Oryctolagus cuniculus: one gene and its partner. The protein of the gene in region 1 purifies or fractionates together with the protein of each later gene. This does not show direct contact. Links are inferred from orthologs where the notes say so. Each region holds a gene or a part of one and is shown in the gene's direction. Other genes may lie near its edges.

Evidence for each region.
Region 2: the proteins of TOPBP1 (region 1) and CDC45 purify together in Homo sapiens (affinity purification with western blotting; 3 studies listed by BioGRID and IntAct, with this or other methods). This does not show direct contact. The link is inferred for Oryctolagus cuniculus from reciprocal best matches to the Homo sapiens genes TOPBP1 and CDC45.

What each region holds. Positions count from the first base shown.
Region 1 is NC_091435.1:175,327,902-175,331,691, reverse strand, and holds part of TOPBP1 (DNA topoisomerase 2-binding protein 1), read left to right. Parts: intron 1-1,434; coding exon 1,435-1,569; intron 1,570-3,653; coding exon 3,654-3,790. UniProt on the Homo sapiens protein: Scaffold protein that acts as a key protein-protein adapter in DNA replication and DNA repair. Composed of multiple BRCT domains, which specifically recognize and bind phosphorylated proteins, bringing proteins together into functional combinations.
Region 2 is NC_091452.1:27,305,278-27,309,860, forward strand, and holds the start of CDC45 (cell division control protein 45 homolog), read left to right. Parts: upstream 1-1,723; 5' UTR 1,724-1,999; coding exon 2,000-2,050; intron 2,051-2,198; coding exon 2,199-2,258; intron 2,259-2,775; coding exon 2,776-2,868; intron 2,869-4,583. Other genes in the region: UFD1 (ubiquitin recognition factor in ER-associated degradation protein 1), read right to left, coding at 273-405, 1,122-1,124. UniProt on the Homo sapiens protein: Required for initiation of chromosomal DNA replication. Core component of CDC45-MCM-GINS (CMG) helicase, the molecular machine that unwinds template DNA during replication, and around which the replisome is built.

The sequences.
Region 1 (3,790 bases):
AGCCAAATTAGGTCTCCAGCATGGGTGGCAGCAACACAAGTATTTGAGCCATCATTTGGCACCTCTGAGGGTACACACTGCAGGAAGGTGAATCAGAAACAGAGTAGCTGAGATGAGACTTGAACCAGACACTGATCCGGAATGTGGCTGTCCCAGGTGGTACTTAACCACTTAACCACATGTTTGCCTCTATGGTTATGTTTTAATTGCATTTTTCACGAACTTTTTGAAGTCCACTTATATATGTGTGTGTGAGCGTGTGAGATCGCTGTTGCTTTTCTTCATGACATAGTGTAAGTGGATAGAGGAAGGATATTTTAGAAAGCGTGATCTGAGGAAGTGTGTGTAAGTAAATCTGAAGTGGGGGTGAAGACCTGGGAGAACAGTATTCCCTACTATGGGAACAAGAAGAGCAAACCTTCTAAGTGAAGTCATGTTTAGCTTGTTCCAGGCTTAGCAAGAAAGAAGAAGTTACTGTAATGAAGCAAGCAAAGATGAGGTAGGAGGAAAGGACAAGGAGCCAGATTTTATGGTCTTATAGGCCATAGTGAGAAATGTGGATTTTATTTGGACTATAACAGGAAGCCATTAAAGAACTCTGAGCATACTTACATGACCATGGTATTTTAAAAAAATTAATAGTTGCTGTGTACAGACTCATAGAATGGCAGATGCCCTAAACAGTACTCTGGCCTCAGAATCAGCTCTTAAGGCATTCAGATCTGGCTAAAAAGCCCATAAGAGTTTCTGAGGCGCGGAAAGCCAAGACACTGTGACAAAAATGACGTAAATGAAAGATCTCTGTGAGTGAGATCCCAGCGGAAAGAATGGGCCATCAAAGAAGGAGGAACCTTTCTCTGAAGGGAGGAGAGAACTTCCACTTTGAATATGGCCTTGTCTAAATAAGATCGGAGTTGGTAAACTCAACAGGCTTCCATGGCCTTGGCAGCTCATGACAAGAGCCTCAGATGATTACTGACGTCATAAATAAGAGTGTCAGTTGTTAAATCAACAACAGGAGTCACTGTGCACCTGCTCCCCATGTAGGATTTCTGTCCTTAATGTGTTGTACTGTGTGAATTAACGGTAAAACTACCACTCAAACAGTATGTAAAACTACAACTCAAACAGTACTCTATACTTTGTGTGTCTGTGTGGGTGCAGTCTGTTGAAATCTTTATTAGTATATACCAAGTTGATCTTCTGTATATAAAGATAATTGAAAATGAAAAAAGATAGTTGCTGTGTAGAGAATAGATTTAGGGCAAGGGAAGAGGGAGACCCTTTGAAGGCTTCTGTGGAGATCTAAGTGAGAGAGAATGGTAGCTTTCAATAGAGAAAAGGCTGGATTGGTGGTGAATGTTGAAGAGAGTTGAGAAGACTTAAATACAGAGAAATAATTTTAGGTATGTTCTTACTTTGTTTTTCTTTCAGTCAATGAAAGAATTTCAATCAGAAGAATATCTTCAGGTTATTACAGAGGAAGAGGCGTTGAAGATAAAAGAGAATGATAGATCACTTTATATCTGTGACCCTTTCAGTGGTATTGTCTTTGATCACCTTAAAAAGGTTTGTTAACTTACAGTGTGTTCTTAGTCTGTTTTTTGGTTTACTTTTGCTTCAGGGGATATAAATTTACTGATCATTAAGTATTATGCAAATTATAAATACATTGGGATTCTTTTGGTTTAGGGAGAACAGAGTAAAATTTTTTAAAGATAATATATTACAGTAGGATTTTATTGTATGTAGTTTCTGTATTTTAGGGTGTTATAACTCTACTTTGTGTAAGTGAACCTGTAATAATGAAGCATTTTAGTGATAGAGTTGACTGTACATACATTCAGTTTGATTGCAGGATATTTCAGAGAGAAATAATAAGGGAAAGACCTCAACATAGTGCATGGTAACTTAAGTCTTTCCTGTTGTACATGGAGCTTTAGTGTCTGTATCTTGGATAGGGTCTGAGAAATTGTATCCTAGAAGGAAACATTTTGGAGATCAGTATTATAGATATACCAGTAAGCCATCTTTTTGTTGATTCCAGAGTCTACTGACTCATTTTTTCTTTCTTTCTTTCTTTTTTTTGGGGGACAGGCAGATTTAGACAGTGAGAGAGAGACAGAGAGAAAGGTCTTCCTTCCGTTGGTTCACCCCCCCCAAAATGGCCGCTACGGCAATGCGCCGATCCAAAGCCAGGAGCCAGATGCTTCCTCCTGGTCTCCCATGCGGGTGCAGGGCCCAAGCACTTGGGCCATCCTCCACTGCCCTCCCGGGCCACAGCAGAGAGCTGGACTGGAAGAGGAGCAACCGGGACAGAATCTGGTGCCCCAACCGGGACTAGACCCCGGTGTGCCGGCGCCACAGGTGGAGGATTAGCCTAGAGAGCTGTGGCGCTGGCCTCATTTTTTCTTAATATCTGGAAAAGAGAGAAGCATTGAAATAAAAGTAAACTGGCTTTAATTTCATCCAGGTTACAAAGAAGTGATTCTTGGTGTAAGAAGAAGAAAACATAGAAGTAAAGATAGATGCAATATCTGTGAAGTCTGCATCTACCTTGCCAAGGTTATTGGTGATCTTACTTCCTCCTGGAAATATAATTGCTTGCCAGAATTAATAGCATCTAAAAAGTCATTGTCTTCTAGCTGATCAAAAAGATAGTGATAATCTTTATCTGTCAATATTTAAATAAGTCATGCAGTGGTAACTGGCAGCTGTGGGCTTTTTAGTCTGACTTAAGTATGTTGATGTTGAGCGTCACCTTTTGTAACTATCAATGAAAATGAGAAGTCATATTTTTGTGTTCAACCTGCAATATCTTAGAAGTCCCTGTAGATCTTTCTTGGAAAAACATTGAGATGCAGTATTTAAAGCTCAAATGTGGAAATTGCCTCTGATTTTTGGTGATGTGATGGATGTTTTGGGGGGGTTACTTTTGTAGAGTCCTTTTTTTTTTTTTTTTTTTTTTTTTTTTTTTTTTTTTTTTTTATTTGGAAAGAGTTACAGAGAGAAAGGGAGAAACCACGAGAGAGAGCATCCATCTGCTCGTTCACTCCCCAGATAGCCACAACAGCCAGCTCTGGGCTAGGCTGAAGCCAGGAGCTTCATCCTGGTCTCCCATGTTTGTGGCAGAGGCCCAAACACTTGGGCCGTCTTCCACTGCTTTTTCCAGGACATTAGCAGGGTGCAGGATCACAAGTGGAACAATTGGTACACCAACCAGTGCCCAGATGGGATGCCAGTGTCACAGGCAGTAGTGTTCCCCACTACACCACAACTCTGGCTCCAGCGTAAGGGTCTTCTGCTTTCAAACTGTTTCATTGGTGGGGTGCTCTGTACATGAGAGTATTTCCTGATTGATATAGCGTAAGTACTTCATTAAGATCATGTTGATTCCAGAGATGAAAGTTTTGAGGCGTTCTAGGAGCTTATTTGATAGTGTAAATTGTTTCATTTGCTTTTGGGTGTGCATGTGTAATGTACAGTGTGTCTGAGAAATTATAATGATTGTTACTTTTTTCTTAGAATAATTGTTCCATTTTTCTGCAGTACTCATCAACTCAGTAAAGAATTGGTAAACAGTACAAAGTGTAATTTTGTAAGACTGGTGGTCTTTTCCTTGCTAATTTTCCAAAATACTTTCTTTTTTGTAGCTTGGTTGCAGAATTGTTGGTCCTCAAGTGGTCATATTTTGTATGCAACACCAGCGATGTGTCCCAAGGGCTGAACATCCAGTTTATAATATGGTTATGTCTGATGTAACTATATCTTGTACAAGCCTGGAAAAAGA
Region 2 (4,583 bases), on another chromosome or scaffold:
CCTGCAGTGCTGGCATCCCATAAGGGCGCCAGTTCGAGTCCCGGCTGCTCCACTTCCGATCCAGCTCTCTGCTGTGGCCTGGGAAGGCAGCAGAAGATGGCCCAGGTGCTTGGGCCCCTGCACCCACGTGGGAGACCCACCCCCACCGAGCCACGTCTGGGCCAAGCGAGCTTCACCGTGACAGCTCTGCTTCCCGCTCGCAGGGTAGGGACGGCAGGAGACTCAAGGGCAGGAGAGGTGAACTATATATTCAAAAGAGAAACAGCACATACTCTTCCCTCCTTTCTCCACATCTGACCTGTCATTAGGCCCGGCTAGCATGGACACGGAGAAGCAGCGGTACTGCGTGGAAAAGCGGTTCTGGAAGACGCGGGGGATCGGGTGGTCGAACATGTTGAAGGAGAACTAGGAGGAAAGAGGAGCGGGTGTTAGGACGGGACGACGGGGACATTGCTTCAGCAGGGGGGGACATATGTCAACGACAACGCACCACGCTGAAATCCTGGTGGACTAAGGTGCTGTCTCTCCCTCTCTCTGTCTGCAACCCTGCCTCTTAAATAATAAATTTTAAAAATCTTGAAAACCCGGGGCTGGCGCCGTGGCTCACTAGGCTAATCCTCCGCCTGCAGTGCCGGCATCCCATCTGGGCTCTGGTTTGAGTCCCAGCTGCTCCACTTCCGACCCAGCTCCCTGCTGTGGCCTGGGAGAGCAGTGGAAGATGGCCCAAGTCCTTGGGCCCCTGCACCTGCGTGGGAGACCTGGTAAAAGCTCTGACTCCTGGCTTCCGGTCAGCTCAGGTGTGGCCGTTGCGGCCAATTGGGGAGTGAACCAGCGGATGGAATCCCTCTCTCTCTGCCTCTCTGTGGCTCTGTCTTTCAAATAAATCAATACATCTTTAATAAATAAAAAAAAATCTAGGAGATGAGGTCATGTCCAAGCGGGCCAGAATGCGGGCCGTGACCGCGACACAGGTGGTTCGTGGTCACGGGTCCGGCTGGTGACCCGAGCGCCCCAGGCTGCGGCCCGGGTGACTCGGCATCTCCGCGCCCGCCCCGTCCCTTCCCCGCCAGGCCCCGGTTCCGGGCCTGGCCTCGGGCTCCAGGTACCGGCCGCTTGCTTACCATGATGAACACCGCTTTGCAGGCGCCGCTGCTCCCACACCACCTTACGATGGAAGCCCGCCGACGGCTCAGCAGACAGTAGCCGCCGCCGCCACCTCCCTGAAGCCGGGACGCCCTGGGAGGCCTACCGGAAGCGCCGGACCTGAGACCCGGAGCGGGGGACGTACCGAGGCCTGGCGTCTGCTGCCAACGGGGAAAAGCCAGGGAAAAGCGCTGGGAGGTTAAACTTCCTACAAGTCAATAGTAAAATGCCCTTTACTGGCGTGTGTCTTCTCCTACAGACAGTTTTAAAGCTTTCAAAAGGAAGTTTTGACAGGACTCCCCTCCAGACGAATTTGGTAGGGCCCATTCTGCTTACTGACTACACTACCCAGAATGCAGCTAGATTTCAGCCATGCTTGATTCGGGCGGAAGTAACCCACACGTCCGCCTTCAATCTGAATTCATATCCTACTGTAAACATAACTGCCGGCCTCCGGGATGTGTAACTGAAGTTCACTCATGACTAGAGGTAAATTTTTCCTGGAGTTCCCAGTGGGAGACGGTAGGCTTCTCTGCCCACAGTAAAGATGTCCACTAAGCGTCGGGGTTTCTGGGTAAATGGAGGGGACCACTGTGTTTGCCTCAGAGCCCTGCTTCAGAGTTGACTGCCGCTTTGTGGGGTTGGGAGAGTGGGCCGGCCTTCTCCAGTCGTGAACTCGGAGCGCTAGTGCCCGCCCCCAATACTGACCAATCAGAACGAAGAAGAGCTGGGAACCAGATAGCAATTGGTTGAAGGATTTGAGCCAATCGGAGGAGCCGCGATTTGGCGGGAGTCTTGACTGAAGGCGGGGCTCTCCGCAGCTCACCCGAGCTCAGGGTGCCCAGCGGCCGTGGCTATGTTTGTGTCCGACTTTCGCAGGGAGTTCTATGAGCTGGTCCAGAGCCAGGTGACTTTCAGTCCGGGTCTCAGCCGGGGCCTCGTCAGGGGAGGAAGGGCTGGGAAGGAGCGGGTCGTGGGTGGCCGGGAGGGTGGGGGGTGGCGGGGTCCGATCCCCGCGCTCAGCCTGCCTTCTCCCTCCTCCCAACCCCCGGCAGAGGGTCCTTCTCTTCGTAGCCTCGGACGTGGACGCCCTGTGCGCTTGCAAGATCCTCCAGGTGAGCCCCGCGGACCCTGGGAGGGCGGGAGCCGGGGGTCGGAGAGGAGGGCGGCTCCGAGGGGTCCTTATTGTGGCAGTACCCTAGCAGATGGTTGCGTCTGGAAGACGCTGGAGCCTGCAGTGGCCTGAGGGCGTTGGTGGTGACGTCAGAGGGGCTGGGAGCGCAAGGGCCCCGGTCTCAGAGGGAAGATCCTTAGCTCAATATTCGAATATGGCGCGGTTGTCACTGAGCTTGGGTCAGCCCCTCTCAGGAGACCCAGAAGCAGGATCAACTTTTCTCCTCCAAGTTTTGACTTTGAAGAAACAAATTTTTTTTTTCCCGGAAATTCAACCCGGTTGCTAGAAAGCTCATACCCCCCCCCCCCATGGCTCCTCCCATTAAAGCTTTGCCTACCTGATGGCCACACCCTTGGTGTCTCAGCCCATCTAGTCTTGTGGCAGCGCGTTTGGAGGGAAACGGTGGCCATCCTGAGCGAGACAAGCTTTGAAAGCCCCCCTTTCCCCTCTCTCTGCAGGCCCTGTTCCAGTGCGATCACGTGCAGTACACGCTGGTCCCGGTCTCTGGGTGGCAAGAACTCGAAACTGCGTTCCTTGAGCACAAAGAGCAGGTAGGAAACAGACACGTCACAGTAATTAGGCACTGGTCGGGCAGAAATTTGATCGTAAGGGGCTTGCAGTTTTTTGCTTAAAGATTTATTTGAGTGGCAGAGTTACAGACAGAAAGAGGGAGAGACAGGGAGAAAGGTCTTCTGTCCACTGGTTCACTCCCCAAATGGCTGCAACGGCCAGAGCTGGCCCAGTCCAAAACCAGGAGCCAGGAGCTTCCTCCAGGTCTCCCACGCAGGTGCAGGGACCCAAGGACTTGGGCCATCTTGTACTGCTTTCCCAGGCACATTAGCAGAGAGCTGGATCAGAAGTGGAGCAGCCAGGACTTGAACCAGCACCCACATGGGATGCCGGCACCAAAGGCAGAGGATTAACCCACTACGCCACAGTGCCAGCCCAGGGGGGCTCGCAGTTTGGCAATGCAGTATAGTTGAGGGGGCTGGCATTGTGGCAAGGGGGGATGCCTACATCCCATATCAGAGTGCTGCTTCATACGGTAGCTGCATAGCTGCTCCACTTCCCATACACTTCCCTGCTAATGCACCTGGGAAACAGCAGGTGTTGGCCCAGGCGTTTGGGTCCCTGCCACCAAAGTGGAAGGTGGAGTTTCTCGCTCCTGGCTTTAGCCTGGGTTGAGGGCATTTGGGGAGTGAACCAGTGCATGGAAGATTTCTGTCTGCCCCTCCCTCTCTCTGTGTCGCTCTGCCTTTCAAATAAATAAATAAATCTTTTTTTTAAAGTCTTGTTAAAATTATGTTAGAGTACATTATTATCTTGTTACCCCTTCAAGACAATGGATCTCAGTTTCTAGCTTGAAATCCAGGCATGTGAGCGCTGGTTCGTGTCCCAGCTTTTCCACTTCCGATTCAACTCCCTGCTCATGGCCTGGGAAGAACAGTGGAAGATGGCCCAAGTGTTTGGATCCTTGCCATCCATATAGGAGGCCTGGATGAAGCTCCTGGCTCAGCACTGGCCATTGTGGCCATCTGGGGAGTGAACCAGTGGATGGAAGATCCCTCTTTCTCTCTGTCTCCCACCCCCACCCCCCGTAACTCTGACAGTAGCCAGTGCTGGAGCTAAAAGCTGGGAACTCCATTCCAAGTCTCCCCCTGCTGCATCCCAAGGTCTGCATTACCACGAAGCTGAAATTGGGAGCCAGAGCCGGAAATCAAACCCAGCTGCTCGATGTGGCTTGTAGACGTCTTAGCCATTAGGCGAGACTCCTGCTCGGTTCTCTCCAGAATTTAAAACAGTAGAAGCCAGCACCTCTCCTACTTCTGCATGGCGCCAAATGACAGAGGACCTTGTGGACTCCACGGGGAGGGATGGGGTGTGGAACTGGCTCCCGTTCATCCCTGCAACTCTCTTGGCAGAGATAAATCTTTGCCGGGAGTTCCTTGCCGCAACGGTCAGAGCTGCACCAATCGGAAACCAGGAGCCAAGTGCTTCTTCCTGGTCTCCCACACTGGTGTAGGAGCCCAAGGACTTGGGCCATCTTCCACTGCTTTCCCAGGTGCATTAGCAGGGAGCTGGATCGGAAGTGGAGTAGCCAGGACTCGAACCATCACCCCTGTGGGATGCTGGCACTGCAGGTGGCAGCTTTACCCGCTACGCACAAGCGCTGGCTGCTCATTGTCTTATTGACCCTGGCATGAGACTCACACTCACTGAGCCCGAGGCCCGCCTCCCCTGTTGTGATGGAAGCAGCACAGTGAAC